2 linked regions of the Struthio camelus genome follow. The protein of the gene in region 1 interacts with the protein of each later gene in a biochemical or structural test. Links are inferred from orthologs where the notes say so. Each region holds a gene or a part of one and is shown in the gene's direction. Other genes may lie near its edges.

The links. The genes of interacting proteins can lie anywhere in the genome.
Region 2: of the proteins of ARF1 (region 1) and AGAP1, one has a biochemical effect on the other in vitro, tested with the Homo sapiens proteins (2 studies listed by BioGRID, with this or other methods). The link is inferred for Struthio camelus from reciprocal best matches to the Homo sapiens genes ARF1 and AGAP1.

Annotation. Positions count from the first base shown.
Region 1 is NC_090943.1:3,582,271-3,589,868, forward strand, and holds the start of ARF1 (ADP-ribosylation factor 1), read left to right. Parts: upstream 1-4,582; 5' UTR 4,583-4,820; exon of another isoform or gene 4,821-5,370; intron 5,371-7,598. UniProt on the Homo sapiens protein: Small GTPase involved in protein trafficking between different compartments. Modulates vesicle budding and uncoating within the Golgi complex. In its GTP-bound form, triggers the recruitment of coatomer proteins to the Golgi membrane.
Region 2 is NC_090947.1:3,584,788-3,592,474, forward strand, and holds the start of AGAP1 (arf-GAP with GTPase, ANK repeat and PH domain-containing protein 1), read left to right. Parts: upstream 1-4,671; 5' UTR 4,672-5,367; coding exon 5,368-6,652; intron 6,653-7,687. UniProt on the Homo sapiens protein: GTPase-activating protein for ARF1 and, to a lesser extent, ARF5. Directly and specifically regulates the adapter protein 3 (AP-3)-dependent trafficking of proteins in the endosomal-lysosomal system.

The DNA of each region.
Region 1 (7,598 bases):
AAGGGTTCCCACCACTCCCTGAAGGGCTGCATGTTCCCCATGGACAAAGAACTAACATCTAGTCCAGAAACCTGCTGTTAAAATGAGGCCTGTGACCTCCCCAAATGGTTGTGGCTCTTCCTTCCTTTGCCCCTCGAAGCCTTAGGTAACCCCATAGTAGCTCAAAATTATCCAGGTTGCAGGAGCTAATATCTTGTCCAGAAGGACACAATATCTTTGTAACAAGGAAAGGAAGCTGAGACTTTAGAGGATCCTAGGAAGACCAGACAGCTCTAAGGAGCTGACCCTACCAAATACCTTGTGCTGTGGGCAATTGCGTGGTCCTGCCATGTTTCTGATTTGGGAGACCTGGAGGCACCAGTGGGACACAGCTGGCACCACGGACAACAGTGCTCGTCCCCATCTCCATCCCATGTGGTGGTCCACAGATCTGGCCCCGCGGACGCGGCAGCTGGCGCAGGTCTCCAGCTGCAGCACGTTAGGTCTGGCACTAAAATTAAGCTGAGGATTAAACCCAAAACTGGGAAGGGCGGACGGAGAGACCATCTGCGGCATGACCCCACGCTGCTATCTGGTCTAGAGGCTCTGCTGCTCAATTCCCACCGCCGGTCCTGGACGCTGGGTGAAATAACGACACTAATGCACCCTCCTAAAAACCATCCGCTAAAACCAGGAGGCTTGGCTGCTTCCGAAGGAAGGGAAAGGAGGACAGCGGCCCTCGGTGAAGATCCCCCAGATGTACTCAGGAACGCATTGCTACCGGCGCTGCAAGCACCCGAATCCAGATTTACTCGGCGCCAGCCACGTGGAGACGTCACGGTCAGTGAATACTTCTTAGCTACCGCCAGGTGACTTTCTGGGCCAGGCCAAGCGGGTTGCGACGTGGTCTCCACCTAGCCAGAATGTGTTTTCCAACCCAGGCGCTGAGGACATGAAGGCAACTCCTCGACGGTCACCCCGGGAGGGGCCCCATTGCATGCACCATGGGAGCTCCTTCCAGAGGTGGCAGCAGCAGCGCCAAAAATTTAGCGATACCTACCTTAGGCGCAGCTCTTCACACCAGCCCTGCGCTTCGCTGAGTGACTCAGTGGAGCTATTTCCAAATTAAGGAGAAAAAAAGCGAGGCGGAGAGAGCTGAAGTAATTTCCCTGCCATCCCCAGGGAGCCGGCGTCACCGATGGAAGGGCAATTTGCTGTCTTGGCTCTCCGTGCTTCGGTCCTACATCTGAGATGCTCTCAAAAAACAGCCTTTCGGGAATTCTGGCTGCACGCGTCCCTCTGCACCCAAAGTCGGCTTTTCTCGGAGAAACCGTGGCAAAACCCAAAGCTCTGGCTGTTTGCAGGGCTGCAGGAGACGGGACCCAGCTGGCTTTCCACTCACCTCCAGCATTTTTGCTCCCACCTGGGCCTTCAGCTCCACTTCACTGATGGAGCTGGAGCAAGCTCCTGCTGCAAAATTATGATTTTGCTGCATAATTTTGCTGCAGGTAGCGTTTAGCTTGCTTTTCTCCCCAAACCCACCCGCCTTTTGCTAGCAGGATGGTAAAACATGAGCACCAGGTCTAGATCTCTTAGCCCAACAGGTGACTCCAAGACCCCGAATCCAAGCCGTAGTCGCTATTTTTTCGGTGGGAAAGGTAGCCAATAGCTGGTGGCGGGGGTGATTTTGCAGCTCCTGCCAGCAATCGCCGTCCTCACCAGCATGTGACAAGCTCGAAGGTGAGAAACCCTCGACCCAAAGCGGCCAACGGGGGCCTTAGGTGCCGCCACGGCCGAGAGCAGAGCAGTGAACGACCCTCGCCCGTGGGCACCCGCCCCAGTGTCACCCCCAAACCCCAGGCTTTGCACTTGAAGCCGCTTCTGTCCCTAAAATCCTTCGGAGCTCAAGCAAATCCAGCCTAAGGGGATTTCTTTTTCTTCTTCTTCTCTAGGGCAGGCGGGAAAGGAAAAGCGTTTCGCAAGCGAGCCTTCGCGGATATTTTTACAACCTCAGAAAATCGCCTTGGACAAACACGATTTATTTATTGTTTTATTTTTTGCAAAAGCCAGCGAGAACAGGGTGTAGCCATGCTGGAGGATTCGTCACCCGAGGCGAGGAAAACCCGTCCCGCTCCGAAAAGGCCGCGCCAGGAAAGCAGACGAGGCTGCTGCTCTGCCGCTAGCACCCGGCGGGCAAGCGGAGGTTCCTTTTTCCCCGGCGTCCCCACTCCGAAACGGGCAGAAAAAAAGAAAGGAAAGGAACAGGTCTGCTCAGCCCCGCTGCAAAAAGAGGCCTTTTTCTTCCCAGAAATGAGTCACCGGGCAAAGTCTGCATCTTGCATCATGACTCAGAGCGCCGAGGCCACATTTCTCTTTTGCCCAAACCCCTCAACGTGTTTGCAACGTTTTGGGACCTCTCCAGGCTCTTTGTGCACCTTTGGGGAGACCTAACGTATCATAGGTGCTTCCTTAAGTGAAATAATCGTCGTATTAAATCCTACCTGCTTGTACAGAGTGAGCTTTGCTGCCCCAAGGCGGCGGGGGACAAGCGCCGGCTCCGGTCCGGGTTCCCTCCTGCCATCTCTGCCACCGCTCTCGTGCGTGACCTAGTTTTTTTAGGAAAAGAGGCTTTTGAGCTCATGCCCGTCTGTCTTCCCTCATCCCTTTATAATGTTTTCAGCTGCCGGGCAATTTCAGCCACCTTTGACAGCGGGACGGAGGATTTTGAGGTATTAATTTCCTATGAGCATCGGGGGGGAAAAGGGGGGCAGAAAGAAGGAGTTTTCATTGCTTCCTGCTGCTTTCAAATTTCTGCTGCGCTTTAGAGGAGGAAGTATTTCGTGCCCAGGCCGGGGCAAGAAAGACAAAAGTGGTATTTCCGGCTCAGAGGGGAAACCGAGGCGCCCCAGGTGCCTGCGAAAGGCCAGAGCCAGCGCTTGGGACATCCCACCAGCTATCTTTTTGCCTTTTTCCTCCCTGCAGTCCTGCTTTAGTTTGGATAAAACAGCCTGTAGATTCCCCCTCGGGGATTTCAGACAGCTCACGGCCCTGCAAAGCGGGTCCTGCGTGTCGCAAGCCCGTACGCTCAATGCACTCTCCTTGCAGGGGGTTGCATCGTCGGCACGCTTTAAACCTTGTAACGTCCGTGTGCTATTCCACCATCCCGCAATGTGGTATTATTAGGCAATGCTGCATGGTGCATGCGCCCCCAAGGAGCCGGCCTCGGGGCAATGCTGCATGGTGCATGCGCCCCCAAGGAGCCGGCCTCGGGGCAATGCTGCATGGTGCATGCGCCCCCAAGGAGCCGTCCACGGGGCAATGCTGCATGCGCCCCCAAGGAGCCGGCCTCGGGGCAATGCTGCATGGTGCACGCGCCCCCAAGGAGCCGGCCTCGGGACAATGCTGCATGGTGCATGTGCCTCCAAAGAGCCGGCCTCGGGGCAATGCTACATGGTGCACGCACCCCCAAGGAGCCGGCCTCGGGGCAACGCTGCATGGTGCATGCGCCCCCAAGGAGCCGGACTCGGGGCAATGCTGCATGGTGCATGCGCCCCCAAGGAGCCGGCCTCGGGGCAACGCTGCATGGTGCATGCGTCCCCAAATAGCCGGCCTCGGGGCAATGCTGCATGGTGCATGCGCCCCCAAGGAGCCGGCCTCGGGGCAATGCTGCATGGTGCATGCATCCCCAAGGAGCCGGCCTCGGGGCAACGCTGCATGGTGCACGCGCCCCCAAGGAGCCGGCCTCGGGGCAATGCTGCATGGTGCATGCGCCCCCAAGGAGCCGGCCTCGGGGCAACGCTGCATGGTGCATGCGTCCCCAAAGAGCCGGCCTCGGGGCAATGCTGCATGGTGCATGCGCCCCCAAAGAGCCGGCCTCGGGGCAACGCTGCATGGTGCATGCGTCCCCAAATAGCCGGCCTCGGGGCAATGCTGCATGGTGCACGCGCCCCCAAGGAGCCGTCCACGGGGCAACGCTGCATGGTGCATGCGCCCCCAAGGAGCCGGCCTCGGGGCAATGCTGCATGGTGCACGCGCCCCCAAGGAGCCGGCCTCGGGGCAATGCTGCATGGTGCATGCGCCCCCAAGGAGCCGGCCTCGGGGCAATGCTGCATGGTGCATGCGCCCCCAAAGAGCCGGCCTCGGGGCAACGCTGCATGGTGCATGCGCCCCCAAGGAGCCGGCCTCGGGGCAACGCTGCATGGTGCATGCGTCCCCAAGGAGCCGTCCACGGGGCAATGCTGCATGGTGCATGCGCCCCCAAGGAGCCGGCCTCGGGGCAACGCTGCATGGTGCACGCGCCCCCAAGGAGCCGGCCTCGGGGCAACGCTGCATGGTGCATGCGTCCCCAAGGAGCCGTCCACGGGGCAATGCTGCATGGTGCATGCACGCCAGGCCCCGCGGCAGGGAGAAGGTGGGGGGAAGAGGAGGAGGAGGAGGAGGAGGAGGAGGAGGAGGAGGAGGAGGAAAAGCTCCCACGCGCACAGCCCTCGCGCCGCCCCGCGCCCGCGCTCCCACGCGCCAACCCCGCCCCACCCGCGGGGGTGGGGTGGGCAAGAGGAGAGGGAGGGGCGTGGCCTCCCGCCCGGCCCCGCCCCTTTGCAGCGCCGCCGCCGCAGGCGGAGCCCCGCCCCCTCGGCGGCCGGCCCCGCCTCCCGCTGCCCTCCTCGGTTACCCGTGGTGCCGCGCGCGGGGCTGGCACTGACGTGGCCGCCGAGCGCCGCCATCTTGTGTGCTTGGGCGGAGAGAGGCTGAGCGGCGGCAGGGGGGGAAGCCGGCTCCGAGCGGGACTGCCCGAGCACAGCCAGACCCACTGCCCGGGGCAGCAGCAGCAGCCGACGCCGGTAAGTCACCGCTGCCGCCCTCCTTTCAACCTACGGTCCTTTCTCCGAGGTCCGCGGCGGGTTGTGAGGCGCTGAGGCGGCGGCGAGGCCTTGCGGGCCCGGCCGCTTCCAGCCCCGCGCTTGGCTGGCGGCGGGAGGAGGGAGCCGCCGCCGCAGCCAGGCCGCAGTGCAGGCAGCGGGGAGCCGCCGGCCCAGCCCGGGGGGTGGAGAAGGGAGGGAAAAGGCGGAGGGGGAGGGGGTGAGGAAGGGCTGCAGCTCTGCGCCAGGCCCCGCGTCGCTCCCCCTGCCGGAGGGATTAGACGGGATGCGGCGAGATGGGCCTTCCTTCCCCGGCCGCCCCAAACTCCCTCGTTCCGGCCTGCCCCGCCCGAGAGCGGCGAGAGTTTTCCTGCGCTTCCTCCCCCCGACAAGGCTCCTGGTAGCCGAGCTCGCAGCTCCCCATGGCCTGGTAGGGTGAGGTGAGGCTCGGGCGAGACTCCGAAGAGCGGTTATTTGCTTGGTAAATCTTTAGCTGCTGAGTCGAGCTTCGTGCAGGGCTGGGAGGGTGAAGGTAAGTTGGGTTTTTTTTTTTTTTGTTTAAGCCTGGAGCAAACTCTGTTTTAGGTGCATTGCTTGGGTTTGGTGATCCTGAAGGTCAGTTTTCCTTGGCATAGCAGATCCCAATGGAAGGATATTATACTGCAGCTGAAAGTACTATGTCTTGTCTCTGTGAGCAATTAATGTGATACTTGGTGGGCCGATATCCCCTTTCTATTAGAGTGATAGGCTAGCTATGCAAACCTCTTCACGGAAAAAGCTGTTTGCCCCGATCAAACATAACTAAAACTCTCTCGGGTCATAAAGCTGCCTAAATGTTGTTTTTGACATTGACCTTGTTGCTCTGCTGCTAGGTCCCTGCCAAACCAAATTCCACCAGTTGATTAGAGTTGTATCCAGAGTCTTGTTTTGAAACGTAGTTTTGTCAATAGCTAAAATGTGAACTATTTATATAACATTTTGAACTTTGTTTTGTAAGTGATAAGTCTTGCAGCACCCCTATGAAGAATATTCTGCTAACCTTATTTTTCAGGCAGAGAAATCAAGTTGAAGTGAATTGTCCAAGGTCATTTGGCAATACATTTATAATTACTTTTACTACTAATTTGAAGAACTTTGCGGGGGGAGGGGGAGAGCCCTTTCCAGCTGAACTGAGGATTGCTTCCTGGCTTTTCTTTATGGAATTTGTAATGAAATTGTCAGTGTAAGTACTCATAGTCTTACAGCTGTAGCAAGCAAGGGATTCTCTCAAACCGAGGTTTAGGAGGCTGGTATGACACCACTTATTTCCTCTGTTAAAAACACAGGTTGTCTGCAGTGCTGAGAACCCTGTTGGACTACTTTCTCTATTGTGCTAATTATACTGGGTGAAAGGGTGAGGAAACCTACCTCACTTGAACCTCTTAAACTCTTTGTTTGCCAAGTTTACTGACCCTTCTACTGTGCCAGAGCATCAGGAGTAAAAATGGCTCAAGCAGGTGTCACTTCCAGTCTGAACAGCCCTTAATGCTCTAATAGTTTGGTGTACGTAATAATTATCGGACCATACCTTAAGAACCTGGAATAAGGTTAGAATGCAAGTGTGCGAATGCAGTGTCCCGAGTGTAAATTGGTCCTTGCTATGGGTTTGCCAAATGTTGGAGTTTGTCTGGTTGTGAAATAAAACCCAAATCTGAAAAGGGACTGGGCAAAAGCGATGCATTCTTGACCAGTGCACGCAATTCCTTGTGTGCATTAGTCATGCTTGCTCAGTGAGGGGCAGGACTAGTTACAGTTGTTTCAAGGCAAACAGAGTGGGCGGGAGGAGGTAAAGGGTTGGATTTTGGTCCTTCTTCTAACTGACCGAACTGTATTGTGCTCCAGTTTCAGCTGACTCAAAAACCTGCTTGCAGTAATAGCGTTCGTACATCTCACTGAGGCACAGTTATCACATTAGTTATTGGTTACATTAATTGATGAGAGAAGGAGAAGCTCACAATAGAGGCTTCCAGCTGAATTTGTAGGGTTGAAATCAAAGCACCTTGTTTTAAGAGCAAAAGGTCAGTTTAGAGAAACTGCTGAGATGTGCAAAGATGGCCTTTAAAGCTAGGATTCTTACAGATTTCAACAGCCTTCACGAGGCCTTTTAATATCTTGAGTTCCTTGCAGTGGATAAACTTTGTGAACATAAGTTAGTAACTTTTTCTTAACAGAAATAGTTTTGCTTTTAGCGATCTGTTGAAAGTTTTGCTACTGGAATGCGGTAGAGCTTGTGTTACACCTAGCACGGTTCTCTGCCGTCGTTCCCTTTCTTTAACTGATGAGTAAAGAAGTTTAGAACCAGCTTCCTACTACAACAGTGCTTTTTTTTCTGTGTTGCTCAGCACTTTTTTCTTTCTGCTTGCAAGTATCCAATTTTATTTCTTGTTTCTAGCCCATGCAAATATTGAAGGACTGTGGCTCTACTTTTGCTGATGTTGGGGTTCTAATAAGACTCCTAGGTGTAATGAAGCCCTTATTCATATACTGATTATCTAATACACAGTAACTAGCTAGTTGCAGGTTCTGTTTTAACACTTTCCCTAAACCAGAAAACAATTTTATTACTGAAGCTCTTGTGCAAGTTCTTCCTGTTTCTAAGAGTGTAAATGTTGGTTTACTCTCCAGTTAGTAGGAATGAATAACAGGTTATTTGGCTTAAAATTTAAGTTTTTAAAAGTTGTAAATAGTTTGGCCTCATAAACCTTACAGGGCTTGTCTGAA
Region 2 (7,687 bases), on another chromosome or scaffold:
GTGACCTGTTTTTCTCTTCCACAAAGAATTTGTCAAAAGAAACAACTTGAAATGATGGTGTGTGTCTAGATTTTAACTTGCAGTTTGCAAACCCCATAAAATTAGGTCTACTTTTATTTAAAAAAGACAATGAGATAGAGCAGTGAAGATTTGAATGACTGGAAGTTGTTCAATAAAAACCAAAACTTAGGCATGTGAACAACCTACATTACAAGAGTTGTGGACCCTTAAAGCTTTCAACAGAGCAGACTAACCTATTAAGTCTCCTTAGGATTGAAATTGTAGTGATCAGATGCTGTGTCATGTGTATACATATATTTATAAATATGTATATTATACACTCACATGCATATGTGTATGTATATATATATATGGCATATATTCTTCCTTGTCTGGGCTTTTATATTTGAATGGTGATGGTGGGGAATCTGCTGGTGTACTGAGAAAACCTTGTATAGAATTAAGAGTAAAGAATTAAAGAATAATTTCAAGACACTTTTGCTAAGACTTCTTGGGAAAAGAGTAAACTTAAAGCCTATTTCACGTCACTTTTAATGATTAAATTGTTCTTTATCGTTTTATAAAGTCGGCATCAGTAACGTTAGTTGCTCTCGAGTCAACTTACTTTACAGCTCTTTAACAGTAATGACCCTTCTCCCAGTCTGGTAGTCTGTTGCTGCTGTTAATGTTCAGCAGTCAGTGCTGTGTGCTAGTGACTCAGTCAGCAATGTTGTGCAACTAAACTCAAGAATATGGTTCAGAACAGGTGAAAAGTTAGCACTAGCAATGAGTGCTACCGTTCGTGCGCTTTTTTCCATTCGACTTAGTTTTCACCTGCTATCTACTTTTTGTGGCTTGTTTTTTTTGATGGTGAACAATGTCTCACTGCAGATGCAGCTGGTATTGCTGCATTCCAGCTTTAAAGAAGGGCAGGCCTTTCAAGACAGAAGTCCGTGTGAAGTTTGTGTTTGAAGCATTTTTAAAATATATTTGAGACACCAGTATTCCTCGTGTTCCAGAGTGTGGATTAAAGCAAGTTATTGGTTTCTGTTGCTGAAAATCATGAGACTCTAAATCGTAGTAGAATATTTCTGTTGTGCGCAACATACTGTATGCATTTCATTTACGTTATCAGCCTGGGTTTTGCAGTGGTTTGTTACTGATATTGCAAAATTAGCCAGCCCTCCTATGTGAAAGATCAAAAGATCATAATGTCCATATTCAAAAAGCTAGTGTGTGACTTTTAAAGATGCATTGGGGTTTGCTTTGGTTAATGATGAGGATCTTACAAGTATATGTAGACATACTTGAGCTTGGCAGTAGGATGAAAAGTGGCAAATATGACCATCGTGCAGTTAAGTTGAATGGGAGCTTACAAAATACTACTTTTTCAATATGAATGCCTGGAGGGAGACTAGGATTTGGCCAAGCACAAGATTTGGGAGGGGCTTCTTGGCAGAAGGTAGTACAGCAATATGTAATTTTTGAGTTAGGTAGGATAACAGAGGGACATATACTTTTTGTCATCGGTTCCTACTGTGTCTGTGCAGTGGGCCTGATACTTTCCAGAAGCCCCGTGTTTATTGTTTGTGCTTCATGCTCTTTACTTGCAGTTGCCCACAGAATAAAAGGTAAATAGGAGCTGGCTGCTGTGGGCCCTTCAGGACACAAGCTGTAGGCTGTAAGCCAAATCTGTTGTTTGGGTTGGCTGCAGCCACTTCTGGCAGCTCTGGTCTCAGGACCTGTGGGACTTGTCCTATTATGGGACCGGATCTGTCCTTATCATGTGATGGGACAAATAGGGCAGGAGGGAATGCACTGTTGCTGCTAGAACAACTTGGACCTCATTTTGCTCCTGAGGGACCTTTGTGACGGGGGCCTGTAGCTGGAGTAATACTGTGAGGCAGATACTGCATGTGGACTATGAGTAGAAAACCTTGAGTTAAGGTATTTTATAGGCTTTTGGGATTATGGCAGAGTACATGCCGGTTCTGTGCCTCCATGGTAATTTAAGAGCTCTTACAAAAATATTAAACGTAAAACCCAGTATTCTGTAAAATACACTGCTGCTATGAGATATTCAGTGTTGTAGGGAAGTCTAATGACAGATTTCTTAAAGGTTGGATAATGCCTCTATTTTATGGAGAAGAGAAATGACAGGCCATGCAGATGACAGTCTCTTGAATGCCAGCAAAGTTGGTTGTGTTAAAAGAAGTCTTCAGTTGCTGGGTGGTGAATAATTTATGATGAGTCGTCAGCTTGAATGGCAGAGCAGTCTCTTTGAATATGATCTACTATGTGTAGAGGAGTTATTACAGTATCTTGAACTGATGACTAATGCAAATACTGTCACAATCGATGTGATTATAGTACACCAACCATAGCACAGCCTCTTGGAGAAACAGGGGAGGTGCTAAGATGAAAAAATTCCCAACCTGCTGGCAGATTCAGGAGATGTGTAAGTAAATGTTTATGCAGACAAGAGCCATTCACATGTCCCATTCGGTGCATTAGAACATACCACGATTCCCAGGCAGGAGGAGGGCAGGCACTGAGAGCAGGGTCCATAACCAACCACGGATGTAACCGCGGTAGGGAGGGCGAAAAGACGAATGCTCTGGAGGGAGCCGCAGGAATGTGCGGGCTATTTGTCTGTGCTTAAAAGTGGCTCCTCTGAAGGGTTCTGTCATCTAAGGCAGATGAAAAATGGATTATTCCACTCCTAATAAGAAGCCTACTTTCCTAGAGCAGCATGTGGGAAAACGTGGCATGGATTTCCTTGGAGGGTATTGTGAACAAGTTCTTGCATGTTATTAGTGTCGGTTTACTACACTGTATTATATCTGAAGTACAGTATTTTTAAGTATTTAATTGACAGATTTCAATACTCATACACTTCTTAGGGTGACGTATCCTATTTTTAATAGACAGTTCTTGTATTTCTAATTAGAACCATTTTTCGTTGTCCCTCCCCCCACCCCACCCCCCCAGCTTATTTAGGACCACATATTAGAGATGGTCTTTTGGATGTTTGAGAAAGGGAGAGATCTTCTATACATTTATATGTTTAGTGGTGATTGAGCACTTAAGAACTGGAGATGTTGTTTTCGGAATGGTCAAGCGTGAGCTCCGAGTGGGTTGTGACTATTTCTCTAGGGCTACAGTTGCAGTTGGTTTTGGTCAAGTATCTGCTTAAGATATGTGCACAAATCTGTTTAGTGATATGGACCTCAAAGCAGTGATAAGTAATAAATGCTAATTTTTCGAGGTTAATTAGAAACAGCAACATGTGTCATACCTTGAGATGGTGAGTTAAAGCAGTAGTTCGTTGTGTTTTGACTGGTAAGGGATCCATAGTATGTGTTGTAGGATCCTGGCATAGTCAGAAACTAATGCAGATACTGGCTCTAACCCAGTGTCCTTGCCTCTTGGGTGCAACTAGTATGAGAATTTATTCTCTAAACAGAAATAGTCCTGGAGGCATGTCCAGTCCAGCTCATGCCATACCTGTGTTTTAGTCTGGACCCAGGGCACTGGTTTGGGGTGCACCCAGAGAGAAACTTTTCTGTTTTCTGCTCTCTCCTGTCTGATTTTGAAGCTGTACTGGGACTAACTTGCCTTCACAGCTTTGGAGTTGCATTCCTGTTGGAGTGATTTCTTTTTACTCTTTTAAAATGTTTGCTGGTTTTGAACTTTTACAAGCATTGGTTGATTATAGACTTGGGATGTACATAGCAGAAGTTAGTTTTTAAAGCTCGACTTTTAAAAACATAAACAGGAATTGGAAACCTTATTATTTCTAATATTGTTTACTTTCTGGTGTCTGTCATTATGCCTGACTATTGACACTTTTTTTTTTTTTTAACGGGGGCACCAGCCAGTAGTCAATGGCTTCAGTGCCACTGATCCGGGCTCTTGAAGAATTGGCAACCTGAATGTGAAAGGAGTGCATAACTCTCTTCTGCATTCCAGCTTTTTAGAGGAGCCGGGATTTGTTGAAACAAACAGTGATTGTGAAGGATATGGTAGGTCACAGTTTTGCATGATTAACCACATAGCAACATGGTTTCATGCAAAGTGTTACGGTGAACGATTTTATTCAGAGCAATCACAGTCGCTACTGATGGAAAAACATCACTTCTGGGTGATTTGACTCTTCAGTGCCAAAAAAAGGCAGTGCCTTGCTTCGTCCTGCACCTTAGACCTCAGGATGCGTGCGGCTGGCTGTTCAACCTCACGTGAGGTTGAAGTCTCTTGATCAGAACTGTTGCACTTCCCATTGTCTTGCCCTTACTTTGGCTTAGATAAATCCTTGGGTTGTTGGGTGAGAAGCGTGAAACTTAGCTATGTTGTATATTTCTGGAAAGCAGACTTGGAAGAGGAGCCAGGGTGCAAACGGTACCCCTCCTCCCCCCAACACATACACCCCTTCCCCATGCACTTAGTGACAGCAAACCTTTCCCCCCCTGTCGTCTGCGCGACTTGAACGCTGTCTGAGATCCTTGGTGTGTGCCTGCGCAGTAATCGCAGCGGTGCGGCGGGGAGCGTTGGTTCTCGCCCCGTTCCGCAGAAGGGCGTAATCCAGGCCAGCGCTTGAGGTGTGCTCCGGATGCTTGAGGCTGAGCTCTCCTACTCCTGGAATATCTGCTGTTTCCTGATGTTGGGGGACTCAGTGGAGCTCTGCTTGCCCTCGGAGAGGGTGTTTGTCTGAGGCTCGGATTACTCCTGCACCCTCTACGGTTGGGGACGGTGGGCATTTTCGTTTTGAAACAGCCCCCTTTCAGCCCAATCGGGGCAGCTGATTGCGGAGCTAGAGTAGTCTGGTCCTCGTTTATACTGAGGACAAATATTAATCAGATTTACTCTGCAAAAAAGGACACAAAATATGCAAACGTGCAGCCTGCTGTAAACAATGAAATTGAAGGCTGCTGCTGCTCTAATCCCCTGAATACTGGACCTTGCTTCTCCTGAGCAATGCATTTTGGGACCTGCAGGAAGATGCATGCAGTTACCGAATGGATTTAAATCATCCCTTGATGTATTTTTGGAAGGGGCCAAGAGGACTGGTTATTACTTACATGGATGCTGTACGTTTGTGGGGAGAGATGCAGGAGCGGTGTGGAGAGCTGGAGTGGAGCTGCCACTGCTGAACCGGAGACTGGGAGCTGTGTAACCTTTCCGCAATCTTGGTGCGCAGCGGAGTGACTTTGCTCTGGAAGAGGGGCCCGAGTGGGGTGTGACACAGGATTTTTTTTTTTTTTGGTATTGCGGTGGTTTGTGGTTCTGCATTTTGATTTGCAGCTCCAGAAGCGCACGTCTCCCATACCTCCAGCCCTGGCAGCAGGCAAGGTATGATGTCTGGGCTGAATGTTGCCGCCTGAAGGGAGGAGAGGGGAGGGAGACATGTACCTTCTGGACAGCAGCGAGCCATCGGCTGCCGCCTCTCCGGAGAGGATGCAGCGGGGGACCCCCCAGAGGAAAACAGTCTACCGCATCTCTGTGACCATGGTGAAGAAAGAGCTGCTAGGGCCAGAGGGCAGCCATCCTGGCCTGGAGCTGCCTCAGCACGGGCAGCGGGGAGGGAGCCAAGCACTGGGCTCCTCCAGTCTCACCAGAGCTGGGCTGCTGCTGCTGGAGGAGGAGGGCGAGGAGGGTGAGGAGCAAGACAGAGTACCCAGCCCCTGCGGCTTCCGCAACTTCAGGACCCTCAGCACCGGGCAGCTGGAGCTGGGTCGCCTCAAAGTGGCACGGAGAGCAGCGCAGCCTTTCCCTGCCCAGCTGACCTTCAGGTGGCCGCGGGAGCCAGGCGCTGCGGCGGAGGGGGCGAGGAGCAGCCCTTCGCCAGAGGAAGCCGCTCCTGCCGCTGCGCTTGCCCCTTGTCAGGGCCCGTGCCTGGGCGATGGGGAGCCTCCATCAGTGGTGGCCACCTGTGGCAGGGCTGAAGCCAGAGCTGCGGGGGAGCTGGCGGTGACTACAGCTGCCTCCCCTGGGGAGGATGCTCGGCTCCGGGCCCGCTGCTTGCCTGCAGGCTGCTCAGGCGAGGCTCTGCAGCTGGGGGAGCAGGGACATAGTCCCTGGCGGCAGCCAGGCCAGCTGCGGCGGAGCTTCAGCTTCAGGCACTGGAGAGGGGGGGAGCTGCCGCGGATCAGGGCGCTCACCCGGGTGCGGCGGCACAGCAGCTCGGGCTGCCTTCCCGTGCTGCCCGGCCCTACGCCGAGCGAGGCGGCCGGAGCGCTGGACTTGCTGCCCGCTGCCTCGCCCGAGCCGCCCACCGCTGTCCCCGAGAAACGCAACACCCTGGATGTGGGTGAGGTGCTGAGCAAGGCGGATCCGCTCTCTGAACTGGAGCGCTGGGAGCGGAGCAAGAGCAAGAACCGGACCCTGGATAACAGTGACCTGCAGCGGCTCTCTGAGCGCCTGGGGCGGGATGGCCCTGCTGGCAGTGGCGCCACCGTCCATGAGCACCGGCTGCTGCGCTTCTTCAGCGGCATCTTCGCCCGCAAGGACGGTACCTCCACCCCCTTTGGCAGCCCCCACGGCCGGTCCCCACGGAGTAGCTTCTCCCGGTCCAGGGCTTATTTTAGCAGCCTCAGGAGAGCCACTGTGGATGTGCAGTCTAGCTCGGAGAGCATCAATGGGTCCCCTCACAAAGGTACCCCCCCCCCTTTTTTTTCTTTTTTTGTGATCTGGGAGGCTTGACAGAGGGGGAAGCAAGCAGGTGTGTTTGCTGCAAGGGTTTGAATCGGGGCTGAGGGATGGTGGTGCCAAAAGGCCTTTCTAATTGAGGAGATGGAGATGCTGCCCTGGGAGTACACCTACATGATCTGATGTATTTGTTTTATGCAGTAGAGGATATTGTATATCTTGAAATATTTGATAGTGTTTCCTTCTCAGGTGCACAGCCTGATGGTTATGATGGAGGCAGATGAGGTGGTGTGCCTCCTGAATGGAGAAACACTCAGGGTGGTTCACTGTGGCTGCTAGTAGAGCTGAGTGAGGCAAGTGTAGCTTGCTTAATTATGTAGTGGAAGCTGAACTCCTGTGTTGCTCTGTGTGTGTGTGTATATATATAGGTCAGTGGGTGGCTGAGTGCTTTGCAGCGCTCGGGATTTCTCCTTTTGGAAAGACTTTCTGAATCTCGAAGAGGGGTTACAATGGCCAGAAATATATTTGCTAGCATTGGAGTAGGTGAATATTGCTAGAAACACATTCAAAACTGTAAACCTCTTCCATCATCTTGATTACAAAAATGCTTAAGCTTGAGTTCATATTCTTTAAAAAAAAAAAAAAAAAAAAAAAAAACAACAGAACACCACAAACTCGGATGATGCTCTGTGAATTATTTTACATGGTTATGTATCAATCAAATCTGGAACTAGCCAAGCATTGCTAATGCTAGGTGGAAATCAGATTGGGAATTCTGGGATTCCTAAACCCTTAGGATACAAGAAAAACTTGAAAATGTAAGCTCACTGTGGGATGGGAGTCACGAATTGGCTAGCAGGGTTCTGTAAGGATCTACAAGGATCATGGTATGCTTGACTGAGACATGTTAAACCAGAAATGCTGGTTACGGAGCTTCACTGTAAGACACTGCTTTCTTCCTTGCAATGCCTTTTTAATCGTTATTAGGTGTCCGAGGTCAAACATTTCGCTAGTAATCATACTATCCTTTGAGCACTAAGCG